2 linked regions of the Tamandua tetradactyla genome follow. The protein of the gene in region 1 purifies or fractionates together with the protein of each later gene. This does not show direct contact. Links are inferred from orthologs where the notes say so. Each region holds a gene or a part of one and is shown in the gene's direction. Other genes may lie near its edges. The genes, in order: RMP64 and RPP25L.

Region 1 (8,299 bases):
CACCAGCTGCTGTATCATTTAAATTTATTATTTCCTCCCTGAAATGTTATTTCCTTTTGGCTGCCAAAACATTGGCAGTTTCCCTCTTCTTCCTGCTTGCCCTTCACTGCCACCAGTCCCTTTTCACTTCTCTATCACAGTGATATATATGCTCCTAGGTCCCTTTAAGATTGTAACCAGAAACTGATCATTTGTTTAGAGTGAAAGCTGGGTAGGGATTCTGAAGTAAGCTTGGTTCTGGTCCACTGGATGTTTGCAACTGAAATCTAGTGATCATTTTTTCCAAGCCCTGTTCTTGTTGAAAAAGCTGAGTTTGTATTTTCATCACTCAGTTCAGTACCTTTCATCTAAGTTGTGGAAGTGCTTCCTTCTACACTCTTTAGGAATTCCTGCTCCAGCCCCAGAATCAGGTATTAGATCCACCCTATCATTAAGAGATTGATAATTAGCCAGGGGCTACATAGGAAATTTAGAGCCTCCTAAGCTTATTTCTAACGTTCTAAACAAAAACATCTTCCCAGAAATCATTTCTCAAAGTATTGGGGAGGAATAAGGTTCTAAGGCAGACTCTTCATTCAGATCAAGCACATTACTAAACACTGTATAGTGTTTCCCTAAATTTTTAGCTCAGGGAACATTGAAAAATAATGGATTTGTTGATGGTGCACTTTAAGAGATTAACGGAATTCACTGTTATCATACTACAGTGGCATTCACACACTGAAGTTAAATGGATACATCCCGTATTTGGGGGTGGTGGAGAGAGAGAGAGAGAGAGATTGCAATTTAGAAATCAGACAATTTTCCCATCCTTAGGTTCAGAAGGCATATGCCCCAGAGTAGGGCTGCCAGATAAAATACAGGACACCAAGTTAATTTAGAATTTCAGACAATTAATTTTTTTAAGTATAAGAATGTCCCATGCAAATTCTGTTTATCTCACCATCCAGTATTTTTATCTGTTAGATCTGCCAACTCCACCTCCTAGAAAATACTAGAAGGGAAGAGAATCTGCCATTTATTCAGTCACTAACTGTGCTCACTGTTTTCCTAGAGTGAACATATTACCCCTATGAATATGATTGTTAAGTATATGCAACATTGTCCCTAAATCCAAGCCAAGTAACTACTACCTTGTGTTCAACTGAAGAAACCATGATCTATTTTAATGCTGGAGGGGAAAAATGTTTGTCTGAGTTGGACTTACCGTAAGAGATAGTATGTTGGTCTCTGATGTGGTACATTTCTTAAGTATTTTCACTATTTGACAAATATTAATTGAACATCTGAAATGTCTGAGGCACTTAGAATAGAGCAAGGAACTAAACAGTTAAAAATTCCTGTTCTCATGGAGCCTACATGCTCATGGGGGGAGATTTTTAAATACTAATTTTAATATCCTTTATTTTTATTCTAGAGTTGACTGAGTTAGATGGGATTCATGTATTATATTTGTCACATTTTAGTATACTGTCACTATTTGAATACATCTGTTTATTGCCCCGATGATATTTTCTTATATATCCCTGAGGCAGTTCTTGCCATGCCGGCATCTCACATAATATATTTAATGAGAATAGACAGCAATAAATATTGGTGCAAAGGAGAAAGATTTTAAGGACCATGACTCTTATAGCTGAAAACTTTTTGTTTCTGGGCATGTGTGTTCACATGTACGTGTGTTTTGTAGATAAATATGGGTGCACAGACGGGTCATTTGGAAATGCGGTGTACAGAGTAAAGAACAAAGAACAAAGTTTTTTTTTTTTTTTTTTTTTTTTTAAAATTTTATGAACAATATAGTCCCCAAAGCAAACATTTGAAAGGTTCCAGTAACCATTTCTTTGGCAGAGAAGATGCTTGGGGCTTAGTTCAGCAGCAGACACTGAAGCATGGCTTGGCCCTGTCCCTTGGGGTAACACTGAGGTGTTATGTTCCATTAGAGGCACTGGTACCTTTGCAGAAACTTGCCAAATCAGGCACAGACTTGCTGGCAGCCACATGAAGGGAACTTACTGATCCATGCCCAGCTCTTAGGAGGTACATGGCAAGAAAGAAGAAAGCAAAACAAGTTACCAAATCGCTATACACTTTATAAATTTGACGTGGAAATTTTGCCTCAATGCTGCCAAATAGTTATAATGATTCCATTTTCTCCAAGACCAATTCTTGGGCATTAAATCTTTAATGTTGAGAAAGTACATCTAATTATCTGATTATTAATTTTTGAAACTCAAATTATTAAGTTTTGAGTCTAGCCACTTCCAGGTTGAGATTCTGTAACTCTAAAATAAATTGAGGTTATGGCACTCTTATTCAAAACTATGCCTTCAGGTCACGAGACCTTATTCCACTTCAGAGACCAATCTTAAAATCATATGTATTTACTTTCCTATGAAATGTTTCTTTGATAATCTGAATCTCTTCTGCCAGAGATAAATCGAATTGTCTTCATTCTGTCTGAGGTTGTGGAACAGGAATTCTATCGGCTGGAGAGAATGTAGATTAAGTCTCTCTTCTTGGGTTCTAATGAAGTCAGAAAAGACAGATTTAGAGAGGATAATCAAGGCACAACCTCTGGCTGCCATCTGGTGGAAAAGGTGGGTAATGAACAAGTCATAAGTACCAGGGTTGTAGGTGTTGGATTTTTATTTTCTGAGCAAATGCAGTTAAGATGTCAGCATAAAGGCCTATGAGAAATAACTGCAGTTAAAGCTATTAGGTTACCTAAGATGGGAATCTAACAGTTAATATAGAAAAAAAATACATTAAGTGAGTGGAGTTTGTATGGTTGTTTCATAAAAGTCTGCTTTCTTGGCAACTGTGCTTAAATTTCCACCCATTTTTCAGATCTTAGGCAGTGGAGGGCATTGACATCAGAAACGCCAACAAGGAAATTGGAGCTGTGCCACGAATCACGCAGAATCCCTTCTGCTCTGTGTTTTAGCTGTAGGTGGCCTGCTGTCCCGTGGATGGGGAAAGGTTGCAATGTACTTTGCTCATTCTTCAGGGAAATGAAACTTGGAGACCATCTTGGCTCTGGATATAATTCTTATTTCTATTTGCTGTGAACCCATTTCTTCTCCAAATTGTCCCTTTTCCTCAAGTGTCATTTCAGCTATCTTGAGATACTTTCATGATTCTTGTAAGGTTACTTTCAAACAATTCTGAAAAGCAACAACCTGACATTTGACCCAGGAAAACTGTAATTCTCTGACAGCCCAGATCCTAAATTGAAATTCATGCATATAAATGCGATAAAAATCAAAGCCAAAATTCACTCCAGGAATTCAAATGAAACATACATTTCATTTAGACTTATACATTTTCAGAGTTTCTCAATGCAAGTGAGAAGCTGTTCCCTTGAGACTTTTGCACGAAAACTTCATTAAAAAAATACATACTTAATTTTCAAAAGCTCTAAAAATGCCTAAATTCTCAAAAATGTATAGCAATGTAGAAGCACACTTACTTTTTAAAAATAATATTCATTTTTAGAGCAGTTTTAAGTTTACAGAAAAACTGCCAAAAAGTACAGTTGTTCTAGTTTGCTAGCTGCCGGAATGCAACACACCAGAGACGGATTGGCTTTTAATAAAAGGGGATTTATTTTGTTGGTTCTTCAGAGGAAAGGCAGCTAACTTTCCACTGAGGTTCTTTCTTACGTGGAAGGCACAGGATGGTCTCTGCTGGTCTTCTCTCCAGGCCCCTGGGTTCCAACAACTTTCCCCGGGGTGATTTCTTTCTCCATCTCCAAGGGCCCGGGCTGAGCTGCAAGTGCTGAGATGAGGAATGCCAAGCTGCTAGACTGTGCTACATTGCGTTCTCTCATTTAAGCACAAGCCAATTAAGTTAAACGTCACTCATTGCAGCAGACACGCCTCCTAGCCGACTGCGGATGTAATTAGCAACAGATGAGATTCACCTACAATTGGCTCATGCCCACAGCAACAGAACTAGGTGCTTTCACCTGGCCAAGTTGACAACTGAATCTAACTACCACAACAGTATTCCCATAAACCCACCCCCAAACACATAATTTTCTATATTATTAACATCTTGCATTATTGTGGTACACTTGTTACAACGATGAACTGATACTGGTACATATTATTAACTAAAGTCCATGTTTTGGTTGCTAAAGCTGATGAAATGCAATAAACCAGAAATCAGTTGACTTTTACAATGGGGATTAATTAATTTACAATTTACAGCTCTTAGGCCATGAAAATGCCTACTCAAGGCATCAGTGGGACAATATCTGGACTTTGAAGACAGGCTGCCAGAATCCGGGACAGCTCTGTCACATAGGAAGGCACATGGGTGTCTATTGGTTCTTCTCTCCTGGGTTTTGTAGCTTTAAGTTCTGGCTTCAGGGACTTCTCTCTTTATCTGTGGGTCCTCTTTTAGCTTCTCTAGGACTTTTCTCTTTGAGCTTCTCTTAATTTCATCTCTTCTAGTTTCTGTCTCTCTCTTTTAAAGGACACCTGTGAGAGGATTAAGATCCACCTTGAATGAGGTGGGTCACACCTCAGTTGAAATAACCTAATCAAAAGGTTCTACCTACAATAGGTCTACAACCACAGGAATGGATTAAAAGAACATGACCTTTTCTTGGGGTACAAAACAGCTTCAAAGAACCACACCACAGTTTACATTAAAGGTATACAAGTGCACCTTTATGACAAGTGCATAATGCCATGTATCTACCATTATGATATCATACAGAATAGTTCCACTGCTATAATCATTCTTGTACTCTACCTATTCAGCTCTTCCCCACTCCCAGTGAACCTGAGGCAACCCACTGATCTTTTTGCTGTCTCTAGAATTTCACGTTTTCCTCTCTTACAGTTGGAGTTCTATGGTGTGTACCTTTTATAGACTAACTTCTTTCAATTAGCAATGTGTATTTAAGGTTTCCCCACTTTTTGTTTGTGTGTGTGTGTGTGTGTGTGTGTGTGGCTTGACGGCTCATTTCCTTTAACCATTGAATAATACTCCATTGTATGAGTGCACCCCATTTTATTTATCCATTCACCTATGGAAGTGCATCTTGGTTGCTTCCTGCATTTTTAATTAAAATCTATGACAGAATAGTTTTTAGAATCAAGGAAAATATTTGGAGACTAGTGTGGAAAACTAACACATTATGTTTAAGTGTATGACAGGTCTTTCAAATGACTTGTAGCGACAACTCGGGCTACTGTAATTGCCGAACTTAAAAAATACTTAATGCAAGACTAGTGCCAGACTCACATTGGAAGGCTTACATTACTCATTAGTTGACTTATTCTCTCAATGTTTATTCAACAAATACCTACTGAGAACCCATGTGCCAGCACTATGTAACATCCACATCACATGCATGAACTTACAGAATTGATCACAAATGTATCCAGAAGTAGGCATACCATGACTAGGGTTAAGAGAACTAGAGATAAAAATGAGATGGGAGTTTGGAGAGGAAACAGATTAGTTCCAGCTGTTTTGGGGTAGATGAACTGGGGAAAAGGGGATCTAACTAAAATTTAAAGGAAAAACAAGACTTGAACATAAAAATATTCTATTGGCACAAATTTGGATATTCCTTTCTAAGGAATTTTTCTTAGGATTTAAATAAGTTATAAGCAGCTAAGAAGGGCTATGGAAATTAATTCCCCCATGTGGGCATATTTTGAAATGTGAGAATTAAAAACATTTCAAAAACTATTAATTCTTTTTTTTTTTTTTTGCATGGGCAGGCACTGGGAATCGAACCTGGGTCTCTGGCATGGCAGGCGAGAGTTCTGCCTGCTAAGCCACCATGGCCTGCCCCGGAAACTATTAATTCTTGATTGACCTTTGTTCTTTACATATGGGAAGATTTCTGCCCTCTCCAAAATACTCTTTTCTCTCCTATCCCAAAGCAGTAAAACAAGAAAGGAGGAATAACCTTTTTTTTTTTTTCATTCTCTCTGTCCCTATCTTTTCCTTAAGTCACTTGGCTTATTCATTTGATTGGTATCTATCATGCGTCTCTTATATGCCAGGCACTTTGTTAGGTACTGAAAAGCAACAATTAACAAACACACATGATCATTTCTCTTTAAAAGGTTGTAGTTTAGTGGTGAAGACAGCTAATCAAACAATAAATTAAAAACTCTTAATGTTTAATAACAAAAGCAATATACCATAGTGATTGTGCTGGTTTGGAAGGGTTTGTGTACCCTAGAAAAGCCATGTTTTAAGCCTAATCAACCTTGTGGGAGCAATCATTTCTTCTAATTCCTATTTAGTACTATAAATTGGAAGCTTGATTGGGTTATCTCCACAGAGATGTGATTCACTTAAGTGTCTTCACCCATTCTATGTGGGTCTTTATTAATTATTGGAATCCAATAAAAGAGGAGACATTTTTGGAGAGAGTCCCTTTTTGGAGCCTCAAGAAACCCACAGCAGAGGCAAGTACAGCCATGAGGCCAAGAGAACCAGAGTCCATTAGCCAGCAACCTTTGGAGATGAAAAATGAGAATGCCCCAGCGGGGAGCTTCACAGGCAAGAAGCCAGGAGTGAAAGCTGGCAGACTGTGGCCATGTTTATCACATGGCCTCCCCAGTTGAGAGAGAAATGCTGAACTCATTGGCCCTTCTTGAGTGAAGGTAACCTCTTGATGGTTCCTTGGTTTGGACATCTTTATAGACTTGCTTTAATGTGGAGATTTTCATGGCCTTAGAACTGTAAATTTGTAACTTATTAAATTCCTCTTTTTAAAAGTCATTCCATTTCTGTTATATTGCATTCCAGGAGCTAGCAAACTAGAACTGATCAATAACTCGGCTGTGATATATGGCAGTATAGATTCAAGTCTGGGCTCTACTGAATATCAGTCTACTGAAAATCAAAAAACCATACTGTTTTGACCACTGTAGCTTCATAATATGCCTTAAATTCAGGTAGCATGAGACCTCTGACTTCATTTCTCTTTCTCAGGATACTTTTAGCTATTTGAGGCACCCTGCCCTTCCAGATAAATTTGGTTATTGGTTTTTCTATTTCTGAAAAGTATGTTTTTGAGATTTTAATTGGTATTGCAATGAATCTGTAAATCAATTTAGGTAGTAGAATTAACATCTTAACTATATTTAGGCTTCCAATCCATGAACACAGTATGCCCTTCCATTTATTTAGGTCTTCTGTGATTTCTTTTAACAATTTCTTGTAGTTTTCTTTATAAAGGTCTTTTGTCTCTTTAGTTAAATTTATTCCTAAATATTTTATTCTTTTGGTTGTAATTGTAAATGGAATTTTTTTTCTTGATTTCCCTCTCAGATCGTTCATTACTAGTGTATAGAAACACTACAGATTTTTGAGTGTTGATCTTGTAACCTGCCACTTTTCTGTACTCATTTATTAGCTCTAGTAGTTTTGCTGTGGATTTTTCAGTGTTTTCGATATATAGTATCATATCATCTGCAAACAGTGAAAGTTTTACTTCTTCCTTTCCAATTTTGATGCCTTGTATTTTTTTCTTGGCTAATTGCTCTGGCTAGAATTTCCAACACAATGTTGAATAACAGTGGTGATAGTGGACATCCTTGTCTTGTTCCTGATCTTAGGGGGAAGTTTTTGGTTTTTCTCCATTTAGGATGATGTTAGCTGTGGGTTTTGTATATATCCCTTTATCATGTTGAAGGAGTCCCCTCCTATTCTTATCCTTTGATGTGTTTTCAACAGGAAAGGATGTTGAATTTTGTCAAATGCCTTTTCTGCATCGATCAAGATGATCATGCAGTTTTTCTGCTTTGATTTGTTGATATGGTGTATTACATTAATTGATTTTCTTATGTTGAAACATCCTTGCATACCTGGGATGAATCCTACTTGGTCATGATGCATAATTCTTTTAATGTGTTGCTGGATTCAATTTGGTAGAATTTTGTTGAGGATTTTTGCATCTATATTCATTACAGAGATTGGTCTGTAGTTTTCTTTTTTTGTAATATCTTTGCCTGGTTTTGGTGTGAGGGTGATGTTGGCTTCATAGAATGAATTAGGTAGCTTTCCCTTCTCTTCAATTTTTTGAAGAGTTTGAGCAGGATTAGTACTAATTCTTTCTGGAATGTTTGGTGGAATTCACATGTGAAGCCATGGTCTTGGACTTTTCTTTTTGGGGAGCTTCTTAATGACTGATTCAGTTCTTTACTTGTGACTGGTTTGTTGAGGTCATCTATTTCTTCTCAAGTCAATGCTGGTTGTTCATGCCTTTCTAGAAAGTTGTCCATTTCATCTACATTGTCGAGTCTATTAGCAGAAAGCT
Region 2 (8,287 bases), on another chromosome or scaffold:
CGTATTCATTTGTTAAATCCTATCTTCTCTGTATAAGTCCACCATCACCTTTGATCTTTCTATCCCTCTCTTTAGGAGTGTTTGGGCTTTGGCCATTCTAACTTTTTCATGTTGGAAGAGGCTGTCACTAATATGGGGTAGGGAGATGGAATTAGCTGATGTTCTGGAGAGGCTGGACCCTGTAGGTTTCAGGACTTTTCTGGTCCAGGGACCCATCTGGAGGTTGTAGGTTTCTGGAAAGTTACACCAGTGCATGGAACCCTTTTTGAAATCTTATATATTGCCCTAGGTGTTCTTTAGGATTGGCTGGAATGATCCTGGTTGGGGTTTGGCAGGTTATGATAGGTAGCAATGTCTAACTGAAGCTTGCGTAAGAGTAACATCCAGAGTATCCTCTCATCTCTATTTGAACTCTGTCTGCCACTGATACTTTATTAGTTACACTTCTTTTCCCACTTTTGGTCAGGATGGAATTGTTGATCCCACAGTGCCAGGGCCAGATTCATCCCTGGGAGTCATCTCCCACATTGACGGAGAGACTTTCACCCTTGGATGTCATGTCCCACATAGCGGGGAGGGCAATGATTTCATTTGCAGAGTTGGGCTTAGAGAGAGTAAGGCCACATCTGAGCAACAAAAGAGGTCCTCCACAAGTAACTCTTAGGCATACCTACAGGTAGGCTAAACTTTTCCACTACCTACATAAGCTTCACAAGAGTAAGCCTCAAGATCAAGGGCATGGCCTATTGATTTGGGTGTCCCTATAGTTTGACACGGTAGCAGGGGATTTCCTGCTGGTAAAGTTTAATAGTTGCATATTTTTGCTCACATTCCTCAAGGTACTTTGTCAATAGTTTTTGATGATCTGTTTAATATACTCTAGAATGTATCCAGGCATTACATTAAGCTATACAGGATTAAAGGACCTCTTTCTTATTCTGTGCTCCCTGTGTTTGACTTGTTCAAATGAGCTATACAGATAGGTTGAGTTAGATTATGTGCTACAGAAAATTTGGGTTCCAGACCAAATAAACCTTTCTTCCTTTGGTCTCAAAGAGTATTTGTGATTCTAAAATAAAAACACTTAATCCCAACCTGATTGGCTTCATTCTTATCTCTAAATATCAGGTTATTTATATCCAGTAAATTTATATCCAGTAAATATTTTTAAAAATATTTACTTGCTTCTTTGTATTGCCTTCTTTGATTCCCCTTTTCTTTCCTTATATCTATATTTAGTTATTTTCATAATGGTAAAATTGTCATTTCCATTAACTTCTTAACTAATAACCACCTAGTTTGACTAGTACTAACCTAGTCTCAGACATATATAAACTCTCTATTCCTATATATATTCATCGCTTCCCCTTTATATGTTATGCAGATTACATCTTTTTACACTGTGTGCCCATCAACCTAGATTTTAAATATTTTTTTTTACACATTTGACTGTTAAATCATATAGAGGAGGATAAAAGCACTTATAAACCAAAAGTACAATAATACAGGATTTTATATTAACCTAGGCAGTTACCTTAGGAATGTTCCTTATTTCTTCTTATGGCTTAGAGTTACTGTCTAGTGTCCTTTTATTTCAGACTGAAAGACTTCCTTTACAATTCTTGTAGGGCAGATCTTATGGTAATGAACACTTTTAGCTTTTGTTTATCTGTAAATGTCTTGATTTCTTCTTCATTTTTGAGGGATAATTTGCCGAATTTAGAGTTCTTAGTTGACAGTTTTTTTCTTTAAAGACTTTAAGTATGTCGTCTGGCCTCTATGGGTTCTTTTGTGGGGGATGGTGCATGGTCGAGAAATAGAACTCAGGTCTCCCACATGAAAGGCAAGCATTCTACCACCAAACCACCTGTGTACCCCCTCCATGGTTTCTGCTGAGAAATTCACTGTTTATCTTATTGGGGACCCCTTGTATGTGACAAGTTGCTTTTCTCTTGCTGCTTTTGAAATTCTCTTTTTGTCTTTGGATTTTGACAATTACACTGTAATTTTTCTTGGTGTAGAGCTCTTAAAGTTCATCCTGCTTGGAGTTTGTTGAGCTTCCTTGATGTGTATATTCATGTCTTTTATCAGATTTGGGAAGTTTTTGGCGATTATTTGTTCAAATACTTTTTCTGCCCCTTTCTCTCTCCCTTGTCCTTCTGACACTCTAAGGATGTATACGTTGGTATACTTGATATCACACAGATACCTCACGCTCTGTTCATTTTTCTTGATTATTTTTCCTTCCTGCTGTTCACACTGGACACTTTCAGTTGTCTTCTTTGCAAGTTTGCTGATCTTTTTTCTGCCTGTTCAAATCTGCTACTCAATCAGTCTACTGAGTTTTTCATTTCCATTACTGTACTTTGTAGCTCCAAAATTTGTTTGCTTCCTTTTTATAATTTTCATTTCTTTATTTTGTCAGACATTTTCATAATTTCCTTTAGTTCTTTGTATATGGATTCCTTTTATTCATTGAACATGTTTAAGACCGTTGATTTAAAGTCTGTGACTAGTCATTCTAATGTATGAGCTTCCTCATTATGGTTTCTTACAAATTTTTTTTCCTGTGAATGGGCCATACTTTCATCTTTCTTTGTAATTTTTATTGAGAACTAGACATGCTGAGAATTATGTTTTTTAACTCTAGAAATCTAGTTCTCCCACTCCTCTGTGATTGCTAGGTTTTTTGTTTGGTTTTGTTGTTGAGGGCTGGAACCATCAGTTTGTGACTTTTCCAAACTATTTTTGCTTCCAAATGAGGAATGGAAAAAGACAAGAGAAAAAAAAAAGATACTGCCTCTTTAAAAGCCCTCTGCTGCTTTTGCTTTGAGGAAGGATGGAACAATAGCTGTCTTCAAAGCCAGTTCCCCAGCAATCTGAAGTAGCTGATCCAAAGCAGTGAGCAGTGATCAAACCACCACCACCACCACCACCACCACCCCAGGCTTTGGAGGACTTAGTCCTTATATCCTTCATGGCACTATTAAGCTGCACCAGGAGCCTGGGCTTTAGTCCCCAGTACTGCCTGCCACATGATTGGGGGATGGGAGATAGTAGATACTGCATGGATGGTGAAAGTCACAGATATTTACCAGCTTCTTCCTCTGGCTGTTTCCTAAAATAATTGATTCAGATAGTTCCTGCCAGCTCAGTATTTGTTTTGGGCATGGGGGAGGCAGAGTGTTGGGAATGGTTATTGGTCTTTTTTACTACACCATCTTCGTATAATCCTCCCCATCCTTCTCTTCCCTTGGCAATTTGTTCCTTCATTCTGGGGTTAAGCATCACATTTTCTGGGCTGTATGGGGAGTGGGGGTCTCTGGTGAGCAGGAAGTAGGAGGTGGGGTTTTTGCCTAACTCCATTCTTTGCCCCTCCCTGGCCCCGCAGGACCAGTGTATGGAGATCACTGAGGAGTCCAAGGCTCTCCTGGAGGAATACAACAAGATTGTATCCTTTCTGCTCAACCAGGCCCCTAATGGGTTCTGTCCCCAAGCCCCATCCTTTTGTCCCACATCAATTCTCTCAGCCCTTCCCAACCAGCCTGTCTATTCCCCTGTTCCCCCACCCCACCCATTTTGGCTCACAAGAAGTCTCTCCAATCCCTCATTTAAATTCCTGTTCTTTTCACCTTGACTTGTGTGTGAACAGACAATGCTTCTCTCCAAGCAATTTGTGCAGTGGGATGAGTTGCTTTGCCAGCTAGAGGCTGCCAAGCAAGTGAAACCGGTGGAGGAATGATACTGCTCCCCATCCCAGGATGGCCAGGCTCCAAGGCCCTGTTCCAGCTGCCTCTGTAGCTGTGCAGAGGCAGCTTTCTATATTTATTGGACCTACAACCACCTGTTCACACTCAGGTGGGGCTCTGAGGCCAGAGATCAGGGGTTACCTGGGATTTGCAATTTGCACCACCCCCCAGTCAGTGCCCTCATTTCAGTGACAATAAACTATAAATACCAATGGGAGTGTGCTGGCTTTTGTTCTAGCATGGGGGTGGTGGAGCGCAGAGCTGACAACCAGCCTAGTGGTTGGACTGGGAACTACACTCATCTTGGTCTGTCTTTCAAGGAGGTGTGGAGCTCTCACAGTGGAGGCTCCCATTTGATTCTTATGAGTGGCACATTCTTTTATGCATCTATTTATCCTATGTCTAAGCACCAACTAAATGCCAGACCCCATACATGGTGGGAAGGAAGCAGGTAGAACCCATTTAGGGGAGAAGCCAGCCAAGGAAAAAAGCAGTCACACCAGATGGTCACAGGGTCGTTTGGTCCAAAAGAGGCTAATAGGGGAGGCAGGCCTGGTGGGTGATAGGCTATGATTTTGAGAGCCAAGGAAGCAGTATGTATAAAGGCAGAGAGGTGCCTTGAAGTTTCTTTCCTGGGAACCTACTTGGTGCTATTAGTTGAGAAGGGGAGCCCCAGAAGAGATGGAAGGTTTGGATATCGAGAGTTTTAGGTTCTGGGGAAAGGGAATTGGGAAGGAGATGGGGGAACGTGATGAGAAACAGCAGGGAGAGACTGAGCTCTGTACCAAACTCCAAAAAGTGTTTGCTGCCCCCTTGTGGTCTCAAAGAGTACTCTGGCTTCAGACCCCTTTCCAACTGCCTGCCTGCCACCCCACCTACGCGGGTTCATTAGCCTCAAATTCAGCCTGTCAAAACTGGTCTAAAACCTGAGAATCATCCTAGACTCTTCCTTCCTTCCTTCGTTTCTTCCTTCCTTCCTTCCTTCCTTCCTGTCTATCCAAACAGTCGCCAACTTTCTACTGAATACCTCTTCTGTATCTCCCAACCTAGTCTACTTCTCTTCATTTCCACTGCCATTTCTATTTCATTCATTCAACAAATCATTTAAAAAATAACGGAGCGTCTGGTTAGCCGCTGGCCACGGTAACAAGCTCCATGACACGGCCCCGGGACCCCGCGGCCAAAGGTTACCAGCGGTTGCGGCTCGATTTCCCCCACCAACCTCTTCTCTGTGGCTACAGTGAGCTGTGCACACGACCTGGTTCAACTGGCCCGTGTTGAAAACCCCTCCGTGGCTCGCCAGTTCCCACAGGATGAGGTTGAAATTCAGAACTCAGTAATCAAGTGTCTTGCCTGTGCAGCAGCAGCCACTTCCAACTAAACCTTTTGCTCCCTTTGCTATTGCCGTGTCCGTTAACTGCAGTTTTCCCATCTTCCAAAGGTTAATCCTCCCCATGCTTCAGACTCTGAACTCCTCTGAAGGCCGTCCCTTCTATCCACAAGGCTCTTTCCTCCTCACCGTCCCACCTGTGGGAGTGCCTCTGCCCAGGGCGTGGCAGCGGATACCTTGCGCCTGCACCCAGTCCCGGGCGTCCTAGCTCTGCTCAGTCTGGGTGTTCTGAATGGTTCTCAGTTGCCACTGCAGAGAGGCCGGGCGGGCCGCGTTGCCTCCGGCCCCGCCCCCGAGCGGCGTGCGCGGCCCCGCAATTTCGGCGCGCTCCCGGACCGCGCGCCATCTTAGCTCTGGACCCGGCGTGTGGGGCGCTGCGGCGCGGTGAGAGTTGGGACCTGGTGGGGTGGGGGGCGCCTGGACGTGGAGGTGGAGAGAAGGGAGGGCAGGCGGGTTTCTCAACGGCTGCGGCCCTCGGGGTACTGGGAGCGGCTTGGCGGCGAAGGACACTGTTGAGACCGGCCAGGCCACCGGTTGACGTCAAGAACACGCTAAGCAGCCGCCGGTGTCGAACCTCTGCTCCTTGAGTGACCTGAGCTGAGAGAGATCGACCCTGGGAATCTTGGGGTCGGGGATGTCCCGCCTTGTGCAGGGGAGCCCCGAGTGGAGAGGTCGGTTCTCTTCTTGGGGGGCCCTAGGTGAGGACTCTTGGCTCTGGCGTGCGGAGAGGGAACTTGACAAGGACGCGGGGGCCGGGCCCTGTGCCTAGGATCCCAGAATGAGGACACCAGTCCCAGGCTTAGGGAGCTTGGGATGTGGGTGCTTGATGCTATCTCAGGGGCTCCAGAATGGGGGCGGGGATGGGGACGGTATGGCTTTGTCCGGAGGAAAAGGGAACAGGAAGTATAGGGTACAGTCCATCCTAGAGTGAGGCAGACATGGTCCATGTCCTGAGATGCTGAGGATGAAGTAATATGGTCCTGTCTCCTGGAAGTCTAGGGTGAGGAGTAGGGCTGTGTCCTGGAGAGTCAGGGTGGGGGATGACCTGGGACACACTGCCTAGCACTCATATTTGATACTTCCCTGCAGTGTGCAGCAAGAGTCGCAGACGTGATCAAGCAGTATGGAGCACTACCGGAAAGCTGGCTCTGTGGAGCTCCCAGTGTCTTCCCCAATGCCTCAGCTACCTCCTGATACCTTGGAGATGCGGGTCCGAGATGGCAGCAAAATCCGCAACCTGCTGGGACTGGCACTGGGTCAGCTGGAAGGCGGCAGCACCCGGCATGTGGTGTTCTCAGGTTCTGGCCGAGCTGCAGGGAAGGCTGTCAGCTGCGCTGAGATTGTCAAGCGTCGGGTACCAGGCCTGCACCAGCTCACCAAGCTACTCTTCCTGCAGACTGAGGACAGTTGGGTCCCAGCCTCACCCAACACAGGCCTAGACCCCCTCACAGTGCGCCGCCACGTGCCTGCAGTGTGGGTACTGCTTAGCCGGGACCCTCTGGACCCCAATGAGTATGGCTACCAGCCCCCAGGGGCACCCCCTGGCCTGGGCTCCACACCCAGTTCCAGCTATGGCCCCCGACCCCGAAGAAGGGCTCGAGACACCCGATCCTGAGGACATGCTGAGCCAGGCTGTTTTCCAAGCCTCAGTTTCTGGGATGGCTGTGCCTTCTTCCAGAATCCTTTCCAGTTGCTCAACATCTCCAACAAGACTTGGATCCACAGAAGTGGCTTTGCTGTCCTTCCTCTGCCGCCTGAAATATGATAAGGGTTTGCTATAAAGAGTAACAGGTGTTAGGTCTGGATTCTGGATTACTTAAGAAGGGCCCATGCTGCTTTCCACCTATAGTGCCTCTGCTCTGCCTTTTGGACAGCGATCCAGGGAGTGAGTTAGGAAATAAAGGTTCTGCCCATTTGTCTGATGAGCCATTGCTCAGCCTGATGTGTGGAGGTGGAATTGGGGGAATGGATGCCCTTGCCTTCTGGGAGCTCATGGGCTGGAGACAGATATAATAGGCTCAGGCTTGTGTGGGGATGGTCTAGAATCTATGAGAAACTTAATAAGCCTGAATATATCTAGGCTTCTGGGTGACTGCCTGCCACCTGCTTTGGGTTGGTTTAGGGACTCTCCCTCAGGTCAGACACTTTTCTATCTGCGGACATATCTTATGGAACTTAGGCACCAGGCTGCTGGGATTTGAATCCTGGCTCAACCACTTAATTGTTTTGTGACCTTGGGCAAGTTACTGTTCTGAGCCTTAGTATTCTCTTCTGCAAAATGAGATTTAGTGCTTATCTCATAGAGTTTTTATTGTTTTTTTAAAAATGTTTTTGAGATATCTTCATATATGTACAATCCATCCAAAATATGTAGTGGGTTACAATATCATCACATAGTTGTGTATTCATCACGATGATCATTTTAAAAATATTTGCATCACAACAGAAAAAAAAATAAAAAGGAAAAGCCCATACATCCCATACCCCTTATCCCTCCCTCTCATTGACCACTAGTATTGCAATGTACCGCAATTTTTTTTTATCCCTTATACATCCCCCTCACATTTATTTTTTTGTCCCTTTTTTTTTTTACTCATCTCTCCATACTCTGGTAAAGGGAAGTGTCAACCACAAGGTTTTCACAATCACATAGTCACATTGTAAAAGCTATATAGTTGTACAGTCATCGAGAATCAAGGCTACTGGAACAGTAGTTCAACAGTTTCAGATATTTCCCCCCAGCCATTCCAATATACCACAGATTAAAAAGAGATATCTATATAACACATATGAATAGCCTCCAGGATAACCTCTTGACTCTGAAATCTCTCAGCCATTGAAATTTTATTTTGTCTCATTTCTCTCTTCCCCCTTTTGGTCAAGAAGGCTGTCTCAATTCCATGATACCGGGTTCTGGCTCATCTCCAGAAGTCATGTTCCATATTGCCAGTGAGATTTATACCTCTGGGAGCCTTTTCCAACAGAGGGGAGAGGGCAGTGATTTCACCTACTGAGTTGGCTTAGAGAGAGAGGGGCCACATCTGAGCAACAAAAGAGTTCTTGGCGGGTGACTTTTAGTTCTAATTATAAGTAGGCTTAGCTTCTTTGGAGGAATAAATTCCATAAGGGCATGCCCCAAGATGAAGGG

What was found.
Region 2: the proteins of RMP64 (region 1) and RPP25L purify together in Homo sapiens (affinity purification with mass spectrometry; 3 studies listed by BioGRID and IntAct, with this or other methods). This does not show direct contact. The link is inferred for Tamandua tetradactyla from reciprocal best matches to the Homo sapiens genes RMP64 and RPP25L.

The regions. Positions count from the first base shown.
Region 1 is NC_135336.1:33,773,728-33,782,026, forward strand, and holds the start of RMP64 (nucleolus and neural progenitor protein), read left to right. Parts: upstream 1-4,743; 5' UTR 4,744-4,864; coding exon of another isoform or gene 4,865-4,867; intron 4,868-8,299. UniProt on the Homo sapiens protein: May play a role in cortex development as part of the Notch signaling pathway. Downstream of Notch may repress the expression of proneural genes and inhibit neuronal differentiation thereby maintaining neural progenitors.
Region 2 is NC_135328.1:61,313,125-61,321,411, forward strand, and holds RPP25L (ribonuclease P protein subunit p25-like protein), read left to right. Parts: upstream 1-5,450; 5' UTR 5,451-5,523; intron 5,524-5,537; exon of another isoform or gene 5,538-5,837; intron 5,838-6,228; 5' UTR 6,229-6,262; coding exon 6,263-6,754; 3' UTR 6,755-7,064; downstream 7,065-8,287. Other genes in the region: DCTN3 (dynactin subunit 3), read left to right, coding at 3,392-3,451, 3,653-3,742. UniProt on the Homo sapiens protein: May be a component of ribonuclease P or MRP.